Rattus norvegicus: one gene and its partners. The protein of the gene in region 2 binds, or shares a complex with, the protein of the main gene of each other region. Links are inferred from orthologs where the notes say so. Each region holds a gene or a part of one and is shown on either strand. Other genes may lie near its edges. The genes, in order: Pigy, Pigh and Pigp.

Region 1 (6,326 bases), on a different chromosome or scaffold from region 2:
TCCTAACATGGGGTTTACCCTTTACAATTTCAAACCGCCACTTTCCTATGTGCCACGTCGATCTCCTCTCTATCCAGGCCTTTGTTGTGTTGTCACCATCCTCTCTGTTGTGCGCCCCCGCCCCCGCCCCAATCCTTTAAATCCAGTCTTTGATTCATTCCCTGCCCTTTGTCCTTTGGGGCAAATCTCTGTGCTCAGAACTCGGTTTTGGGTGTCTTGTGCCAATACTGGTCCCTCCACAGGCTTGTGCAGTGAGTGTCTTTACCACTTGAACCATCTTGATACTTTTTGTTTCGATTTTTAAAAATTTAATTTAAAAAAATGTTCATATCTGCTCTGTGTAAACCATAGGATGGCTTTGTCCTCAGCTCTTTTCTGCCACCTTGTGGTTGCACTAAAAACTGCATGGAATCGATACCACTACTTACCTGTGCGAAGAAAAACTTTCTGATCTTTTAGTTTGCTGGAAGATTAAGGGATGGCGGTCCCTGTGTGGTACTGCATAGAATCCTAGCTCAGTCTCATTTTTCTTTACTCTGGGATCAGAGACAACACTGTCTTACTAGGCAAAGCGGTGGCTGTGCACAGCATTTACTACCCGTCCCCCAACACACACACACACACACACACACACCGTCTTACTATGTAGTTGCGATGACCTGGGTGTATGTAGACCAGGGTGACCTCAAACTCACAGAAATCTTCCAGCTTTTGCCTACTGAGTGCTGGGATTAGGAGTTTAGGCTCCCATGCCTGGCTACATTCTCTCTCTCTCTCTCTCTCTCTCTCTCTCTCTCTCTCTCTCTCTCTCTCTCTCTCTCTCTCTCTCTCTCTCTCTCTCCCTCTCTCCCTCTCTCTCTCTCTCTCTCTCTCTCTCTCTCTCTCTCTCTCTCTCTCTCTCTCTCTCTCTCTCTCTCTCTCTCTCTCTCTCTCTCTCTCTCTCTCTCTCTCTCTCTCTCTCTCTCTCTCTCTCTCTTTTGGTTCTTTTGTTTCGGAGCTGGGGACCGAACCCAGGGCCTTGCGCTTCCTAGGCAAGCGCTCTACCACGGAGCTAAATCCCCAACCCCAACATTCTCTCTTAAAATTGCATTTTACACTTTTTGCAGGAGTACACGCGGGTGTGCTGCAGTACATGCGTGGAGGTCAGAGGACAATGCGAGAAGAAAATAGGTTCTCCACCGTGGGGGTGGGGGTCCCCGAGGATCGAACTCAGTTACTAAGGCTTGGCAGGAAACGCCCGTACTCGCTGAGCCCTCTCATCGGCCCAAACTACTATTTTGACATTCACCAATTCAAACGTAAAACGACGGATCGGACTCGTTCCCCGCTGCTTCAGAGGCTGGGTGATGGTGGCTGCGACCAAGTTTGATTCAGGCTTCAAGTTTATCAGTTAGAAATGGGGAAAGCTTTTCAGCGCAGAAAGACACCGGTCTGCTCTGGAACGCCGTGAACACACTCTGCGGCAAATACGTTCCTCTCCAAGGTCCAGCAGTCCTGGCACACAGGACGCCCAGCCGGAGGCCGTGGGGTCCGGGGCAGGGAGGTCCTTATCAATCAGGGTCCTCTCAGCACCCCTCTGGCTTCACCCGTCACTCAAGACTACGGGGGCGGAGCCTGAGCGCCGGAGCGAAGGCGTGGTGCGCTGTCCAATGAGCACGCGCGGATCGGCTCCCTCGCGGGATCTGGGTTTCTTACCCCGCCCCCTCAGGGATTTGATTGGGCGGCTGGCCCGGGTGCTCCGCCTTCGTAGAGCGGTGACGGTCACAGCCAGGCGCAGCCGGGACCCGGACATTTACAGGCCAGTGAATGGTGAGTTCAGGGTCTCGAGATCCGATACGGGCGGAGGAGCTGTTGGAACCGGCTGGGACAGGACTCGCGCTAGCAAGGCGTCTGCGCCACGGACGCCTCCGGTTCCGCTTGGCTGGCTGGTTCACTTTCGATTCGGCCGGGTTCTCCTCTGCCCTGTTCGGCTTGGTCCGGTTCTCTCCGGCTTGGCTCGGTTCTCTCCGGCTTGGCTCGGTTCTCTCCGACCCGGCCATCGCTACCCTCGGTCAGCCAGAGACTGCAGCGGGACCCGGGTGCCCCTTCGCGTCCCCGAGGCGACTGGGCCCAGGGCTGGCGCTGTCTTCACTCTGTGCATTGACGACGGGCGGCTCGTGACGAGGCTCCGGGTTCCGGTGCTGGTCCCCAGCCGGTCCTCGTCGTACGGGAAGCCTCCACTCAGGTGTCTGAAGTGAATCTGGATTTGTAGGTCTCATTCCGCTTCCTCGGTTCGAGAAAACACTATCAGTCCACCTGTCCTTCATTCTGCTTTTCGAATTTCTTAGTTCCCAAAGAAATGGATGACACTTGAGTGTTTTGAAGGTTTGTTTTCTAGTCGGGCGTGGTGGCTTGGGAAGACTGATGCAAGAGGATCCCAATGTTTGAGGCCAGACTGCAAGTGACAGCAATCCTCCTGCCTTTAACCTGCTCAGTACTGTACAGGCTGTTTCCCCTTCTTTTCCTTTCCCTTCCCCTCATCTTGTCATCTTGCACTTTTCTCATACAGTAAGGAATCCTTTAGCCAGCGCTGCGAGGGACACGTGTGTTGTCTGCAGTCGCTGGTAACCGCTTCGTGTGGTGGTGGATTGGATCAGAACGAGGCTGAGGAGCCGTCACCCTCAGCCTGGGACCGCTGAAGTTTTTGTGTGCTCTTGGGAAGCATGCCTGGATGAAAGAGGAGTCCAGAGAAAGGGAAGATAAGACAGGAGTGCACCAGCACAAGAACATAACTTTGAAAACAACCGAGTTTTCTTGAACTGTATACCTTCAGAAGGGAGGAGGATGATCCTGTCTCTGCCCACCCTGACTGTCCTCATCCCGCTCATCTCCCTGGCGGGCCTGTTCTACTCCGCCTCTGTGGAAGAAAACTTCCCAGAGGGCTGTACCAGCGCCAGCAGCCTGTGCTTCTACAGTTTGCTTCTGCCGGTCACCGTACCGGTGTACGTGTTCTTCCACCTGTGGACTTGGATGGGCCTGAAGCTCTTCAGACATAACTAGGGTAGCTGAGGCCCCGCTTGTGCACGGGGCAAGAGGCTCCTGGTTGTTGGGTTCTGCCCTCAGGTGTTGCAGATTCTCCTGTTAGTGCTGTAGCTGAAAAACACTTACAATAAATATGTCCCAAGGGAGAGGAACATGACCGGTCTTCATCCGAAGACTGTTTTTTCTAAGATTTATTCTTAATTATGTGGATATGAGTGTGGGTCCCCAAAGAGGCCACACGAGGGTTGGAGGTACGAGCAACTGTAAGACTGCCGGAGCTTTACTCAGATCCTCTGCAAGGGCAAGCAAGTTCATGTCCTTAACCCCTGAGCATCTCTCCACCTGCCTGTTTCCTCCCTTCCCTTAGTTCTGGCTAACCTCAAACTGTGAGAGGCAGACCTTGACCTCCTTACCTTCCTGTCTCTACCTCCTGAGTGCTGAAGTTATAGGCAAGCATTGCCGCATGTGTTTATGTGGTCTGGCAGAACCCAGGTCGTGAACGCTAAGTCGGCACTCTGCCAGCCAACCACCCTGAGGACTGTGTTGTTGTTGTTGTTGTTTTGAGTCCATTCATTTAAAAGTCCGTCATTTGGAAGCCGAGCAGTGGTGGCACTCACCTTTACTCCCAGCACTCGGGAGACAGAGGTGGATCTCTTGAGTTTGGGCCAGCACAACGAGACTGTAAAAATAATAATTTGGGATTTTGTTTCAGCTTCAAGGTCAGTGGTGAGGTGTTGGATCTGCTGAGACAAGGGTTTCAGATGGTTGGGAACTACTGTGTGGGTGCTGAAGAAAATCCAGTGCTCAGGGATGACTCCTTTGAGGAGCTGAGTGGTCCGTAGGTTGGTGGCTCACAACTGCCTGTATTTCCAGTTCCAGAGGCTCTGACTCCCTCTGCTGGACTCTGGGTACCTGCACACCTGTGACATGTCTATTCATTCACACACATTAATAAATTTATTTTTAAGAGGGAAAAAAATCTGACTATAAACTTACCTTCATTGTTTTTTCTTTTACATTTATTTTTTTTCTTTTCTTTTTTTTCAGAGCTGGGGACCGAACCCAGGGCCTTGCACTTGCTAGGCAAGCGCTCTACCACTGAGCTAAATCCCCAACCCCTCTTTTACATTTATTTATATGAGTACACTCTAGCTGTCTTCAGACACACCAGAAGAGGGCATTGGGTCCCATTACAGATGGTTGTGAGCCACCATGTGGTTGCTGGGAATTGAACTCAGGACCTCTGGAAGAGCAGCCAGTGCTCTTAACCACTGAGCCATCTCTCCAGCCCCTACCATCATTTTTTCAGTGTCAGGTGAGCAAGGTCAGTGTTGGTGTTTTCTGGTTCTTGGATTCTTATTCAAGGAATAAAGGCCCATATACAGATTTTCAAAGTTGCAAGGAAATTTCACTCAAAGCAGAGCTAGATCAGGCATGCAGATACATGAGCCTATGGGGGCTCTTCTTACTCAACCACGACACCTGTTCTCCCAGCCTAAATTCCTCTGACTCCTTATGACTCCCTGTACCTCTAAGTTCAGAGGCTCTGCCTCCAAAAGCACTGTACTCAGGTTTTTAACACACACCCCTAAAAATAAACACAAAGTTTTCAAAAAAGAGAACATGTTTTCTTTGGCTGAAAGCCGTCCATCCTTGCTTGAAGGTAAGCCAGAGATGGGTGTGACCATTGCCAGTTCTTGATGCCTGCATTGGACAGAGTCTGGAAATCCTTGAGTACATTGGGCCCTGTGGCCCAGAGGCTGTGACATTCTTCCTCTGGGGAAGTCCCAGACACCCTGGAAACAGGGTTAAAGAAGTCAGGGGGCTGGAGTGATGGCTCAGAGATTAAGAGTGTCCTACTTTTTTTTTTTTTTTTGGTTCTTTTTTTCGGAGCTGGGGACTGAACCTAGGGCCTTGCGCTTCCTAGGTAAGCGCTCTACCACTGAGCTAAATCCCCAGCCCCAAGAGTGTCCTACTTTTAGGAAGTGATTTTTTTTAGATCATGAGTGGTTTACTTGCTTGTATAAATGAGCCCTCTGCTTGAGATGCACACAGAGGTTAGAAGCCGGTATTGGATCCTCTGGAACTTGAGTTAAGGAGTTATGTGAGCCACCGTGTGGGTGCTGGGAACTGAACCTGGGCCCTTGTCAAGAACAGCAAGAGCTCTTCCAAGTCATCGCTCTAGCTCCTGGGTTATTTTCTGTTGCTGTGGTAAAACAACCACAAGCAACTTAGGGGAGGAAAGGTTTGTCTGACTTCCACTTTTAAGTTGTAGTTCATCAATGAGGGGGAAGTCAGGGCAGGAGCTCAAAGTGGGGACCTGGAGGCAGGAATTGAAGCAGAGACCATCGGATGGCTTGCTCCCCAGCTCACATTCAGCTACTGTTCAGACTGCCTGGGTAGGGGTGGCACCACCCACAGTGGGCTGGGCCCTCCTGTATCAGAAATAAAGAAATCGTGTCATAGACATATCCACAGGCCAATCGATTAAGCAATTAAGCAGTTCCTTGAGGTTCCCTCTTTCTGGGTGACAGTGTGGTTTCCAGTGCCTGTGTATGGTGGCTCACTATTGCCTGTAACTCAATGCCCTCTCTGATATCCTTGGACAACTGCACTTGTACACATACCCAGGTACTGTTACAGACAAACATAAAAAAATCTATTATTGTTGGCTTAGGGGAACCAGAAGTTCCGGCTGGGAAAAGGGCCATGGAGATGACCGTCACCACCTCTGTGCTTACCCTAGAGCAGCATGCCCTAGTTCCTTCCCATGTGAGGGCTGGGACCCGGCAGACAGCACCACCCCTTCCCAGATTGTGTGGAGGCTCAAGGTCATGGACAGAAGGATCTGTGGTGTGCCAGTATCTGGTCTGCCCTTGTTCCCCCATAGCTCTTTGCTTTTGAGTCTTCCAACAGTACAGGAAGCAGTCTTACATCCTCAGCCCAGACCCCAGAGGCCCAGCTCTTCCCTTTCCTCTCTGGACAGGCTGAAGGGCCTTTTCTGCAACCGTTTGAAGAACAGTGAAGCACACCTCTGCTTTACAGGAGAGATGAGAATGGCTCACTGTGAGAGTGGTTGTAGGCCTGTGATGAGTGAGTGTGTGTGTGTGTGTTGTCAGCCAGGACTTCAGTAAAAATACATCAGTAGCAAATAAACTCTAAACATCTGTGGCCTCCTTTGGGGATAACATTCTAGATTTTACAAGTCAGCTATGGGATGGGAGATCCAAGTTTTCATTGGCCTCCCCAGGGGTAAGGCTTAGAGGTACTTATGGGATAAAGAAGCAGTGTGAGGTGAGAAGGCA
Region 2 (6,358 bases):
TGCTGCCAAGTGCAACACTGCTGCTGCTTTACTTGAGTCAGGGTCTCATTGTATAGTTATGCTGGCATTGAACTTCCCATCCTCCTGCAGCTAATCTCTCTTTGCTTGTTAATTTAAGTTTTTTTGGTTTTGTTTCTGCTTATGCATGTGTGTCTGTATGTATATCCTGCTGAGGCCAGAAGAGGATGTCAGAGCCCTGAAAATGGTGTCACAGGTGGTTGTGAGCTGCCCTGCATGGGTGCTGGGCACTGACTCCAGGCCTGTGGGAGAACGGCGAGCACTCTGACCTGGCGAGCTGTCTCCTTAGCTGCCCACCTCCTCTCACTCTGTAAACCAGGCTGGTCTCAAACTCAGAGATCTACCTGCTCCTGCCGCCTGAGTACTGGGATTATGTCACCATGCCTGGCTACCAGGCTTTTCTCTTTCAAGTAGGAGTACACACCTACTTAAAACACATAGCAGATATGTAAAGCATGACTGTTTTGGAGAAGTAGCAGGTTGTCATGGATACAGTCACCATTTCACCATTTGTCTTGCAGCTCAGACATGTTTGTTTACTTGTTGCTTTCTTCCTCTAGGGCACGAGGACTTACTGTGTTGCCCAGGTCCAACCTAGTCTCAAGCAGCCACCTGCCTTGGTCCTATGAACTTCTGGTTCAAAGGAACGTTTTTTGTTTTTGTTTTTGTTTTTGTTTTTGTTTTTTGGAGGGGGGGTGATCTATTAAAGGACAAAATGGAGGTAAATGCATACATGAAATTATGAAGGAAGAGAGAAAGCTAATTGCTGTTCTAGTTTCGACTCCATCATGTTTTTTCTTGTTTTGTAGTGGATATGTGGCATAAAAGTGTAGTTGATAAAGTATAACCCCTAAGTGAGGCCCCGTGGCTCCAGAGTGGCCATTCTGACTGGATAGTTTTGAGTAACTACCTTAATCTAGCTCTGATGTTTCTATTTGTGAGCACATTACAACACAGTGATGATCTCTTGCTGCCATGGTGGCTTGTCCCTTTCATCCTAGCACTTGGGAGGCAGAGGCAGAGGCAGGTAGAGCTCTCTTAATGAGTCCAGCCTGGTCTACAAAGGGAGTTCCAGGCTAGCCATGACTATTTCATTAGACCCTGTCTCAAGAAAAACAAACAAAAATATTTTTTATATATAAAATAAGAAATGAAAGTTCCTTTTTTTTTCCAGTCAGGGTTTCACTGTGAAGCCCTGGCTATCGTGGAACTCACAGAGATCCCCCTGCCTTTGCCTCCCAAGTGCTAGGATTAAAGGTGTGTGCCACCACCACCATGCCCCCCATTGCAAAAATATACTTTTCTTCTGTTTCAGAAGTTGTCAGATATTTTACTACACAAGAGATACTTTACGAAAAGGACTCTTTAGTCTGCCTCTGAAGAAAAAAGGAACAAGATGAGTTTCACTGAGGTCTCTGTCTGGTTTCTTTTCTTACAGCAGAAGGTCATTTACTACCTCTGCATTTTACTGAAGGATCCAGGGAAACCACATGAGATATCCCAAGTAGTGCCTGTCTTCCAGGTGAGTACCATGCTCTCCCTTTCTCCCGAAAGCCTGCCTTTTCTTTCTGCTTACCCTTAAGTCAGAAAGTGCAGTAGGACACGAACTTCTGTTGTCAGAGTACTGGCAATGTCTGACAACCAATTTGAGTAAAAGGGTTTTTTAGATTTTAGAGAAGACAGTTCCCAATCATATAACCACTTCTACCTACAAATCACATTCTTGTACTTCAGTTCTGTTCACCTATAATTTTACCTTGATATCTTAAGGTTGAGGGTAATAATATAAATAATGTCTTGTCTGTCACAGCCATTATACTTAAAGTATCAGCTTACTTAGCTGTGTTATTGCTAGGTTTTAAATAATGTCTAGATTATCTTGTTTTGATCTTTCAATAAAAACCACTATGGTAAAACATGTAAACTATCAATCTTCTCTGCTCAATGATAGAACCTAGAGATCAGTTATGTATTTGTAATAATTTTGGGTTATTTTGCATAGTAAACATTTATTAAATGGACATTCATACAGTTTTCCTATTCTGTGGGTTGTCTTTTAATTTTAGTTGCATTACATTTTATAATACAAGATCTTTTCAGAATGTACATCTTGTCTCTGATGCTTCTTTCACAACTTGTAACATTTTCTGACATGATCTGTCTCACTGTCATGTGATTGCATGCTTGTAATACCAGCATTCAGGAGGCAGAAGCAGCCTGATCTGCAAAATAAGTTACAGGACAGCCAGGGCTACACAGAGAAACCCTGCCTAGAAACCAAACCAAACCACACCAAAACCTCTTTTTATCTCCCCTTCTCCCCTTCTCCCCTGCACACCCACACCCCCACACAAAGGCCGGATTTAGAGACCTCCCAGCAGGTCCTCATCCGCTCGCCCGCCCTTGTGTCTGAGCGCACAGCTGACATTTGGAGCTGTGGTGTATGAGAGGTGGAGGGTGCAGGTGCATTCTTCTCACACTCCCCTGGCTCTGCATCTCTCCCCTTGGAATCCAGAGCGCCAAGCCCCGGTTGGACTGCTTGATTGAAATCTACAGAAGCTGCCAGGAGATTCTGGCACACCAGAAAGCCACGCCAACAAGCCTATGACTCTCAGCACTCAATCGCCAGTATCTTTATGGAGAGGACTCCTCAACCACAGTAGCTGGTTTACTCTCTGTACTGTCAAAACCATCGGACAGACACGGTCCTGGGAATCAAAACGAGTAGATCTCAGAACCACAGAAGAGGGGCTGGAACTTGATTCATGTTCATGATGTGTGTGTCATAATGTTCCCGGTATAGGTTTTATCTATATTACTGATCAAGGGGAGACCTTAAGGATTTTGACTTGTCAAAAGAAGGCCAGTCATAGTGCCACATGCCTTTAGTCCCAACATTCAAGAGGCAGAAGCAGGTGATCTCTTGAGTTTAAGGCCATTCTGGGTTACATAGTGAGGATTCCCCCACCCCCAAAAATGTATTGTCCAGAAAGAAAATTTTAAGTACCTTCATGTTTGTGTTAAAATCTGTGGAGTATTAAGATGTACCAGATTTCACAAGAAAAATATAATTCCATCTGTATAGACTCTTATTGAAAAGCTAGGGAAAAATAAGTCACGTTTTTATGTATGAATTAGCAGGAATAAAATGCCTTACAAAGGGCTAGCCTCTGTCCACCTAGCTCCTGTGATCTGTGCAGGACAGTGACTCCTTAATCCACAGTTTAGGTAGGAATGGTGTGGATGCCTGTAATCCCAGCTCTCAGAAGGTGTCAACAGGAAGATTGAAAAGTTTGAGGCCAGCCTGGGCTACATGATGAGACTGTCTCAAACCCCAAGGTAATAAACATGTACAACACACAGTCATGGTCTGGTTCACTGACAGCTTTTTATTGACAGACATAATACACAGCATTTCAGCCATGGGTGTCAAGCATATTAGTACCTTTCTGTTACTTAATATTTTCTATTGCTCAAAAGCTGCTTGGCTAAGAGGGCTTAGATGAAAAATGAGAGATTACATGTTGGTTCCCAGACTTGAGACTGTCACATTAAAGGATGAAGAAGCCAGTTTACAGAAGCCTTTGTTTCAAAGGTGGTTCCTTAGATTCTAAAGATCAGGAAGGAGAAAAGGAGCTGGATTAGGCGGCATTTGCCATTAATCTCAGCACTTGGGAGGCAGAGGCAGAGGCAGAGGCAGGTAGATCTCTGAGTTTTAGGCTAGCCTGGTCTACATAGGGAGTTCCAGGACAGCTAAGGCTGCACAGTGAAACCCTGTCTCAAAGAGAGCAAGAGAGAAGGGGGGACTAGGGGGGTGGGGAGGGGAGCAGCAACAGATCTGACCTTCAAGTCTCTGACCTTCAAGTCTAGTACAAATAGTTGCATTAGCTGGAGTTCTGTTTACAAAGCACAAACAACCTAAGAGCAGACTGCATCCTTACTGGCTTCAAGGCCCTTGGATGTAAACCTAGAACTGAATTCTCTGCCTTTCAGCCAGCCTTGAAGGAGCTGTCCAGGAGCCTATAGTGATGTGACTTGAGGTAGACCTGTCTCCACTACAACCCCAAATTCTGGGGTGGGAGTTGGGGTGCAAACAGAAACGGTTATAAAGCTGCCTGGCTTTCGAGCCACGCTCCTTTAAGAGGCAGACTCTTGTGCCCTTTTAAAGTCAGGCTTGTCAGTTCAAAGGATGAAAGACTACAGCAGCTGAGGCATTCGGACAAACTAATTTTTGGCCTTGCAGTTTCTTGTGGTGTACAACACACACATTGTTAGGTTAAAGGCTTATTTCTTGATATTCTTCCTATTCCCTAGTCCATGTTACTGAAAAATGATAAACTGTCTGAAAGCTATACAATAAAGCTTATTTTTTTATATGTTGGAAAACCAAAGTATGAACTTTTTTTTTATTTTGTGGGGAGGTAAAATAAAGATCATCTTCATCAAAATCAGCTAGATTTGAGTTGAGAGGGGTTAGAATATTCTCAGGAAGGCAAAGTTGGAAGAAACTTCTGTTTCCACATGTTACTAGGGCAGATATCATATACATGCCCTGTGCTTCCAAATGATTTCAAGAAGCCATCTACCAAAAGTCTTGGTGAGCAATCCAGGCCTTCCAATAATGGAAGGGTCTTTATTGTTCCTGACACCTTGTTCTGGTGGCCTCTGAGAGCAGCAACAAGCAAAATTCATGTGTGTGGTCTTTAAGAGTGCAGGGAGACGATGACCACCTTGTCCTTCAGGAGTGAGCACAGCCGTCACCGAGCTTTGCAGAGCCTTAAAATGACACAGGAAGGGTGTGGCTCTGTCCCTACCTGTGCTAGTCCAGTGTGAGAGAGAGGGCTTTACTCTTTTTTTTTTTTTCCGGAGCTGGGGACCGAACCCAGGGCCTTGCGCTTCCTAGGCAAGCGCTCTACCACTGAGCTAAATCCCCAGCCCCGAGAGGGCTTTACTCTTAACAGAACACTGTGCTGTCCTGAAAATATTAGAGCTGCTGCCCCAGTGTTTTTCCCATTTGGGAAAGAAATTCAATTTTAGAGATTTGTAGGCTTTTGCCAGAGTTTAGGTGAATTAGGAACTTTAGTCCTATTTTATTCAGGGATGTTCAGAAAACTTCAAGTATAAGTCCCCACGTAAAGACCATGTACAATATAAAAAGATGAGCTTCCCTGAGTATCAGTGCAGAAGCCCCAAATACAGTACCATTGCCCTGGTAACTGCGGGCCATCCCTGTCTTAATCTAGAATCAGGTAGCATCCGGAGTCAGTATTCTTGTTAAAGAAATAGTGGTTTTGATGTTGGGTCTGAATCTTAAAACATTAGGCCTTGAAAGATAAGGCACCTAACGGTCACAAAGGTTTCAAGAGACCCTGAAATATACATTTCACAGAACAGTTTGAGGAGGGGCCATTAGACCCATCACAGTAGTATGCTCCAGGATATAATCTAATCCCAGAGGCACCAGGGGTGGTTTAAGGGTATGGGAAGGAGAAACGTTCACAGCAAAGCTGACCCCTTAGTGCAGGAAACAGAAGCAAAAAACTGTCCATCCAGGTCTCTGGGCTGGCGGGCTGCAGGGAGCTTGGCTGATAGGTTCACAGTTGCAGAACAGTGGTTCATGTAGCTGGCCATCACTAAGGTAGTGTCTGTAATCTAAGGAGATCAGGAAAGTGAAGGATTAAACTAGCTTTATCTTGAATGCTGGTTTTTCACTGGCTCTAACATTGAGTACCTGGGCTTTAGTTGCTGTTGGCCTAGAGAGTCTGAGATGCACTGTACCCTCCTGAGGCCAGGAGGGACAGCAGTTGCTGGATCAGATAGTTCCCACAAGTCCAGCTCAATAGAAAGATGGATATGCTATTCCACCTGAACCCTTGGGGATGCTGTCCAGAGTTTTCTAAGTATCAAGCTTACATCACACCACACCAGGCCAGAGCAAACTGTTACAGTAGTTGTCAGACCCACCTTGGGAGCAGGCATTCGGAAGGTCAACTTGTCAATACGGGTTTTTCCAGAGTTCTGGTCTGGAATGGATCTAATCACAAGCATGAAGTCGTCCCTGCAGCCACCGAACGTTGTCACTGAAGAGTAGGGATAAGTGATGTTCACCTGCTGTGGGAGGAGCCAGTCCAGTTCAGGGGAAACTCTTTCTTTTAGACACAGGGAAGGAGAACCCCAAGGTGATGATAATTTAGAGAGCTAAATCTTGATGTATGTAAGTTGTGCTCAGACTATAAGACAGCACTACTCGGCAAGAGCCGAAGAGAGGAACCATGGCCACGTAGTTCAGACCTCCGACCAGAGTAGAGAGCTTAAGACTAAAAAGGATTGGAACCAGCCC
Region 3 (6,548 bases), on a different chromosome or scaffold from region 2:
GCAGACTGCAAAATGCTGAGGTTTTTTTTTTTTTTAAACCTGTCCCTCTCACTCTTATTAAACCCAGGCTGATCTCAAACTATGTAGCTTAACATGACCTTGACCTTGGGATCTTTCTGCCTCTACCTACCATGTCTGGCTTTCAAATACTTTTCTTGAATTCTGCCACGCAGCAGGGATATACATCCTACATCTCAGCCGCAGTTGACGCACAATCTTCACAAACAAAGCATCAAAGCTGAAGGTCCGGCTTCTGACAGAGTGTGTAGGCGGCTATTGGAAATTGGAGTGGGTAGCAAAGGGAGAGAAGCAGCAGGAAGAGAAGCCAGCACAGGCCTGGTGAGCACTGGTGCCATGGCAACAGTGGCTCAGTTCCCCATGGCAACGGTGACTCAGTCCCACAGACTTTCAGAGAAGTTGCTGGAACACAACAGAATTGTGTCCTAGGGGATTAGGGGGAGAGGGTGTTTATCTACCCCTATCTACCTATTTGGGGCTCTAGGTAAATCTGTAGAGGCTAACCCATTCCTTCTAGGGTGAGCAACAAGTGGCTCCTGTATGGATCTGTTTTAAGGCTTGCACAGAGCTGTTTGGGGCATTGGTACCTGGGGTATGAGGGTGAAACAGTGTGAAGGGGCCAGGAGGGGTGCTGCACTAGAATATATGGTCTAACAGACACACTGCATGCCGATAGATTGTGTTCTACTCCAGTCCCATCCCTTCTCCCAACATCAGAGGTTCTCGAGATCTGTGCTCTAGAGAGTATATCACAGGGGGTCTAGGACACCAGACTTATTCTCAAAATAATAGTAAGATATTACTAATTCATGCTCAATCTCTGAGTGTGTAATGTTTTCCAGAAGCTTCTCAAGGTGTGTTAATGTACAGACTAACTGAAGGGGCAGGCACAAGATCCAGTTTCTTCTATAATCCAGGCATTAAAGAGATTTGCAAAATTTGAAGACGATTCTATTTGAGCCACAAATTTTGTGCTTGAAAATATGGTATTTTTCATAAGAGTAATTTGTCTTAAATTTCATTGCCTTTGAATAGGCCTATTATGTCAATGTTTTGGGTTAAATTGTTTAACACAATTTTTGTGTGTTTGTGCCCATATATGTATGTGCTGCATGCGTTTGTGCATATATACACATTATATACATATATATATACATATAATATGCGCATATGAGTGTGTGGGTATGCAAGAGGTCAGACACGTGGTAAAAAGGTGATGATTGGCAAAATTAACTTTACAACCAAGAAGAGTTTGGCTTATTATTGGTGTGTGCATGAGTACCCAGGCCACTGCACGTGTGTAAAAGTCAGAAGACAACTTGAGGGAGTTCTCTCTTGGGGATCAGACTCGGGTTGGTAGGTTTGCTGGCAATTATCCTCACCCACCAAACTATCTCACTGCCTCATGACCATTATTCATAAAAATAATATGTAAATCACACAAGCTTTTTAGAAGCTCCCCCTTTGTACGAAATATTTGAAGGTCCTGAGAATATTTAAGGTGAAGAAGAGAAGGTTCACTAAGTTTATTGTAACCCTTAAAAGAAATATAGCCCATAACATGAAAACCCCTGGTCGTGGACAATCCCTTAGGTATAAGGACAATGCCTTTGAGAGACAGATTGAAAAACTGGTTTTGAGACTAATGTGCAGGGGAGCCCTAGATTTTACTCCAAACCTTGCAGGCCTATCACTGTCCTTGAAAGGACAAGGGAACACTGGGTATTGAGTGGCAGCTCTGACTAGTTCCTGCTCTTTTGTAGGCAGTAGGCACAGTCTTGCTGATCCACCAGCTGAGCTAAGGATAAGCAGACAAGATGATCATTTTCAACTCTGGCTGCATGTGAGAAGGCTTGGGAGACATTTGTTCTTGGCTGCTTTATGTTAGGCTGGGGAGGTGGCTTAGTGGGTCAAGTATATTCTATAGAGGCCTGAGGACCTGAATTCAGATCTCTAGCTCCCATATAAAAGTAATGATGGGGTAAGAGGCAGACAGGTAGAGTCCTGGAAGTTTGTGGTCAACTAGCCTGGGGTAAGTGGTGAAGGGAGGCCAATGAGAAACCTTGTTTCAAACAAAGGGTGCCTAAAGAGAGACAACGTAAGTTGTCCTCTGACTTCTATATACACTGTGCATGTCTGCATTCACACACACATGAACACACGCATGTGTGCACATATAGATCTATTCAAGGTTGATTATAGTATAATGTTATTTTATTTATTGTCAACTAAAAACTCAATTGAAAATATTTACAATATCAATTGAACTCAATCTAAGGAATCAATTTTCATGTTTTTACATGTCTATATTGGTTATTAAAAGGACAGTCGATATCACTATGCTCAAAATCATTCAGCCCACAACTGCAAATGGTTGGTTTTAGGATGTTTATTCACAGCTCAGTTTTAGGTGTTGAGTTCTTTGGCGTCTAGGAAGAACATTCTGTTGACTTCACTAATGGGAATGTCTCTTAATGCTGGGATGGCGTCCTCTTGGTAGCTTTTCCTCTGTTGGTTTTTAGCATAGTTATCTGCAAGAAAGGAAAAGAAGCTCCACTGACCCAAGCAATTGTCTCTGTAATTTCTGTGGTTCGTTGAGACCTATGACACTGCTCAGCAGGCTGACGTACAGAGGACGGCAAGCCACGAGGTATCATTAGCTCTATCTCTCATGCTGTAAGGACGTCCCTAACGAACTAAGGCTTAGTTACATGGAGACAGTTCACCTCGGAGGGGAGGGATGTCAGTAGGAGCAGGAGGTGGCAGATCACATGTGCTCACCATGTGTACATTAGGAGTCGGACAGGGATAAATGTTCATATTCAGTTTATTTTTTCCTTTTCATTCAGACCTCGACCCATGGAATGGTACACTCCACATTTAAGGTATCTTCCCACCTCGATAAACCAAATCTAGATAAGCCTCCTAGAGTGCTCGGTATTTGTTTCCATGGTGACTCTAAATCCCTATGAGCTGCTGATCGAGATTAATCATCGTGCCATGTTTAACGTAGCAGATGTTTTCTCACAATGTGTTTCTGAGGCCCACTCCCTATGCCTCACAATTTTATTTCATGTAAACTTACCTGTGATCGTATGGATGGAGTCAAGTGGAGAGGTACTCATCATGTTGATTCCAAATAAGAGCACGTAACCAATTACAACCGTGATCAAGAGATAGACAGGCAACGCAACTGCCCAGTACCTGCACAAGAGAATTCATACATGCTAACAAACTTGTCAAGGAGTCCTAATTCCCAAAACACACGCTAATAATCTGTATTATTATTAAAGTAGCTGACGCATGTAATGGATAGCCCGTACAAGGGGGTCAATGGACAGCTGCAGACAGGTGTCTCAGCCATGCTATCCCAGCCGTAGAGTTTTATTCTGTCCACACGAGTTCTTTCAATATCTGAGCTGTTTCTTCTGGCATTTATATCCCCACATCCATATAACATGCCTACATCAAGATTTTCATCGGCCTCAGACATTTTCTCCAGATGTCCTAATATGAAAGTGAGGTATTTACTTCTTCCTCATACTTTCTGCATATGCTGACCTTTTATTATGTCAGCAGTTAAAAACAACTGATCATGTCAGCAATATTTGCAACTGGGAACCTTAGTGTATTATGTTTTCTTTCTTTCTTTTTTTTTTTTTTTAATTCTTTTTTTTGGAGCTGGGGACTGAACCCAGGGCCTTGCGCTTGCTAGGCAAGTGCTCTACCACTGAGCTAAATCCCCAACCCCATATTATGTTTTCTTATGTTTTGTCTGAGACTATACGTTTCTGTCTACTGCTTCTCCCAGAATCTATCAATGCTCCAGAATCAAATTCGTATATGCCTCTCAGCTTCCCTCTCAATGCAGTGAAGCTCACTAAGTGTTCTATCTTGCCAGGTTTTGTTAAATCACTTCCTCCCAACCCTTTTTCCCTGCTAGGCCTTCTAATAGTTTTTTGCACCATTATACATTCCTCTGTTTTCCATCTCTGCTTTCTGTTTCACTGTTTCAGCCATCAACTTTCTAGATGAGATTTTAATAACCGTGCTTATAACTTTTCAGTGGTTGGACAGCATACCATTCAGGATTCTTTTCTCATCTCAGATTGAACTTTTCCCTTCTGCAGATAGATTTATCTCCACTCCTTTTAGTATCTTCTTCTCTTTTGTATTTAGGGACAGACTTTTCTTTTAGTGCCTGGTCTTTATGATGGCGTATTTATATTTAAGATCCAAGGGATAAGTTGACAGGAAGCAAGGTATGTACAAGGGCAGAGACGGCAGAAAGGTGGATTGTAGATGCTGCCTTTTACCCTGGTCAGCATCCTCAGAAAGGCATTTCCCACCTTTCTCTGGGAAGGGGTGAAGCCTGGGAAGGGAAGAAGCTAGGGGAGGGAGCCTTACTCAGCTATGCAGATAATGGTTTATTATCAGTTTTTACAGTTAGCCCTTGTAACTTCCAGACTACAGACTCTGCCCAACACTTTCCACAGGATGGAACTATCTTCTAAGGGGAAGGCAAGGTCAATCTCCAGGTTTAAAATATGGAAGGAGAGTCAGCAGGTCTAATGCATTTTAAAGACACTTCCTGTCCAATGCAAAATTATCATTACCAAGAGATGCTGCTGCTTCCGAGGTCTGGGTCATTTTTGGAATTCCAGGACATAAATGTTCTTGCTGGGTTCCCCCATCTACCACATGTAAATACCAGAATCTTCTATCTCAAAGTGCTAAAATTTTGTTAATATCTTATCTGCTTTCCTATGTGTGTGCTTATACCTTTAAAAGATTTTTCAATAATGGTATAATTTTAGTATGACTTTAGGAGGAAACAGAGATAAACGTTTACCCCACCACCTTCAGTTAGTGATATATTAATAACCTTTAGACCTGTCAATTGCTGTTGGGGTATGGCTCACCAGTTAAAGTCCTTGCCACCCAAGTGTGAGGACCTGAGTCTGGATTCTCAGACCCAGGTATGAGCTGGGCTTTTGTGGCAGACCAGCTGTAAGTCTAGCACAGGGAATTCTGGAGCAAGCTGGCTAGTCTAGAACTAGCTGTAGATAGAACTCTGGGTTCAATTTTGAGACCTTGCCTCCACACATAAGGTGGAGAGTATCAAGAAAGACTCCTGACATCAACATTGAGGCACTACATGCACATGCAAATATGTTTACCTGCACATAATGTGGCCACACACATGTGAACACCCCTATTACCCTCCCACTCCCCAGCACAAAAATAAGAGTAATGTTCAACTTCAACACAGATACTCATGGATTTTAAAGGAGTAATGATCTGAGGCTTGGGTTTTAAAGAAGAGTATTGCCCCTCAAAACAGTTACCAGTTTTACCCCCACTGAACAAATATTCAACTTACTTTTGAGGCCAGTAAGTTAAGCCTAAGGAGTTTAGCCAAGATTCGGGAACGAAAGCCCACACAAGATAGAGTACTGCAGGGTAGAGAGGGCAAGGGAAGAGAGAAGACATGTCAGAGCGGCACGGTCCAGTCTGTAAGGTTCATAAACGACAAGAACACTCCCCAAAGCTTCGCACTCTCAGAATCCAGGATCTCTAGTGGCTGCCTTATTTGTACCTTTCTTGTAATACCTACCATAATTACTCTATTAAAAGTTTTTAGTGTCTTGGTTTTCACACTGCACTTTAAAAAGCCTATGGATACCACCCAGAGGTCCCAGGGACTAAACCACCATTCAAAGAGTACACATGGAGGGACCCATGGCTCCAGCTGCATATGTAGCAGAGGATGGCCTTGTTAGGCACCAATGGGAAGAGAGGCCCTTAGTCCTGTGGAGACTTGATGCCCCAGCGAAGGGGGATGCTAGAGTGGTGAGGCAGGAGTGGGTAAGCACCCTCATAGCGGTAAAGGGGAGGGGTACAGGGGGAATGGAATGGGGGGATTGTGGAGGGGTAATCAGGGAGATATCATTTTAAAGGTAAATGAATAAAATGACTAATAAAAAAGTCTGTGACATATTATTTCTTAGCAACTTCTTTTCACAGCACCTAACAGTTTGCTTCTGCATTCTACATGTTCACTATTTCTCCACAGAGAAGATATAATTGCATTTAGTGGCTTAAAGGGGAACTTGTCCTCTCTGGTTTTGACTGTCTATACACAATCTTCTTTCTGTCAACACCCTGTCATTGTGGGCTCCTTTCCTGCTGTCTCCGTGCAGTAACAATAGGTCCTGAATGTCTCTACATGCACTAACTCGTTTAATCTTCAAAACAGTCCTGAAGCACACACGTCTGTTTTATACATGAGAAAGGACTCATTTGTACAAGGGAAGTGAAGACAGGTTTCAAGCTACATCAACGGTGATGGTTTTTTTTCCGTTAAGAATGAAGTGTTACAGCTTTGTAGGTCAAGACTGGGATACAGTCACTCCTGAAGAGAGGGTTTGTGCTTTCCCAAATGCTTCTGGTGCTGAACAACGATGGGAAAAGAGATCTTTCCCCTACTCTGTTGTAAGTGGTACTAAGAGACAGCACACAGCACATGG

Evidence for each region.
Region 1: Pigh (region 2) and Pigy share a complex: the UniProt entries of both Homo sapiens proteins name them as parts of the glycosylphosphatidylinositol-N-acetylglucosaminyltransferase (GPI-GnT) complex. The link is inferred for Rattus norvegicus from reciprocal best matches to the Homo sapiens genes PIGH and PIGY.
Region 3: Pigh (region 2) and Pigp share a complex: the UniProt entries of both Homo sapiens proteins name them as parts of the glycosylphosphatidylinositol-N-acetylglucosaminyltransferase (GPI-GnT) complex. The link is inferred for Rattus norvegicus from reciprocal best matches to the Homo sapiens genes PIGH and PIGP.

Annotation. Positions count from the first base shown.
Region 1 is NC_086026.1:28,963,877-28,970,202, forward strand, and holds Pigy (phosphatidylinositol N-acetylglucosaminyltransferase subunit Y), read left to right. Parts: upstream 1-2,548; 5' UTR 2,549-2,823; coding exon 2,824-3,039; 3' UTR 3,040-4,000; downstream 4,001-6,326. Other genes in the region: uncharacterized protein Pigyl1, read left to right, coding at 1,154-1,363, 1,599-2,237. UniProt on the Homo sapiens protein: Part of the glycosylphosphatidylinositol-N-acetylglucosaminyltransferase (GPI-GnT) complex that catalyzes the transfer of N-acetylglucosamine from UDP-N-acetylglucosamine to phosphatidylinositol and participates in the first step of GPI biosynthesis.
Region 2 is NC_086024.1:103,618,759-103,625,116, reverse strand, and holds the end of Pigh (phosphatidylinositol N-acetylglucosaminyltransferase subunit H), read left to right. Parts: intron 1-1,456; coding exon 1,457-1,540; intron 1,541-2,374; coding exon of another isoform or gene 2,375-2,431; exon of another isoform or gene 2,432-2,533; coding exon 2,534-2,626; 3' UTR 2,627-4,409; downstream 4,410-6,358. Other genes in the region: Plekhh1 (pleckstrin homology domain-containing family H member 1), read right to left, coding at 5,515-5,670, 5,983-6,129. UniProt on the Homo sapiens protein: Part of the glycosylphosphatidylinositol-N-acetylglucosaminyltransferase (GPI-GnT) complex that catalyzes the transfer of N-acetylglucosamine from UDP-N-acetylglucosamine to phosphatidylinositol and participates in the first step of GPI biosynthesis.
Region 3 is NC_086029.1:47,150,209-47,156,756, forward strand, and holds the end of Pigp (phosphatidylinositol N-acetylglucosaminyltransferase subunit P), read right to left. Parts: intron 5,475-6,548; coding exon 5,402-5,474; intron 3,223-5,401; coding exon 3,104-3,222; intron 2,550-3,103; coding exon 2,425-2,549; 3' UTR 2,393-2,424; downstream 1-2,392. UniProt on the Homo sapiens protein: Part of the glycosylphosphatidylinositol-N-acetylglucosaminyltransferase (GPI-GnT) complex that catalyzes the transfer of N-acetylglucosamine from UDP-N-acetylglucosamine to phosphatidylinositol and participates in the first step of GPI biosynthesis.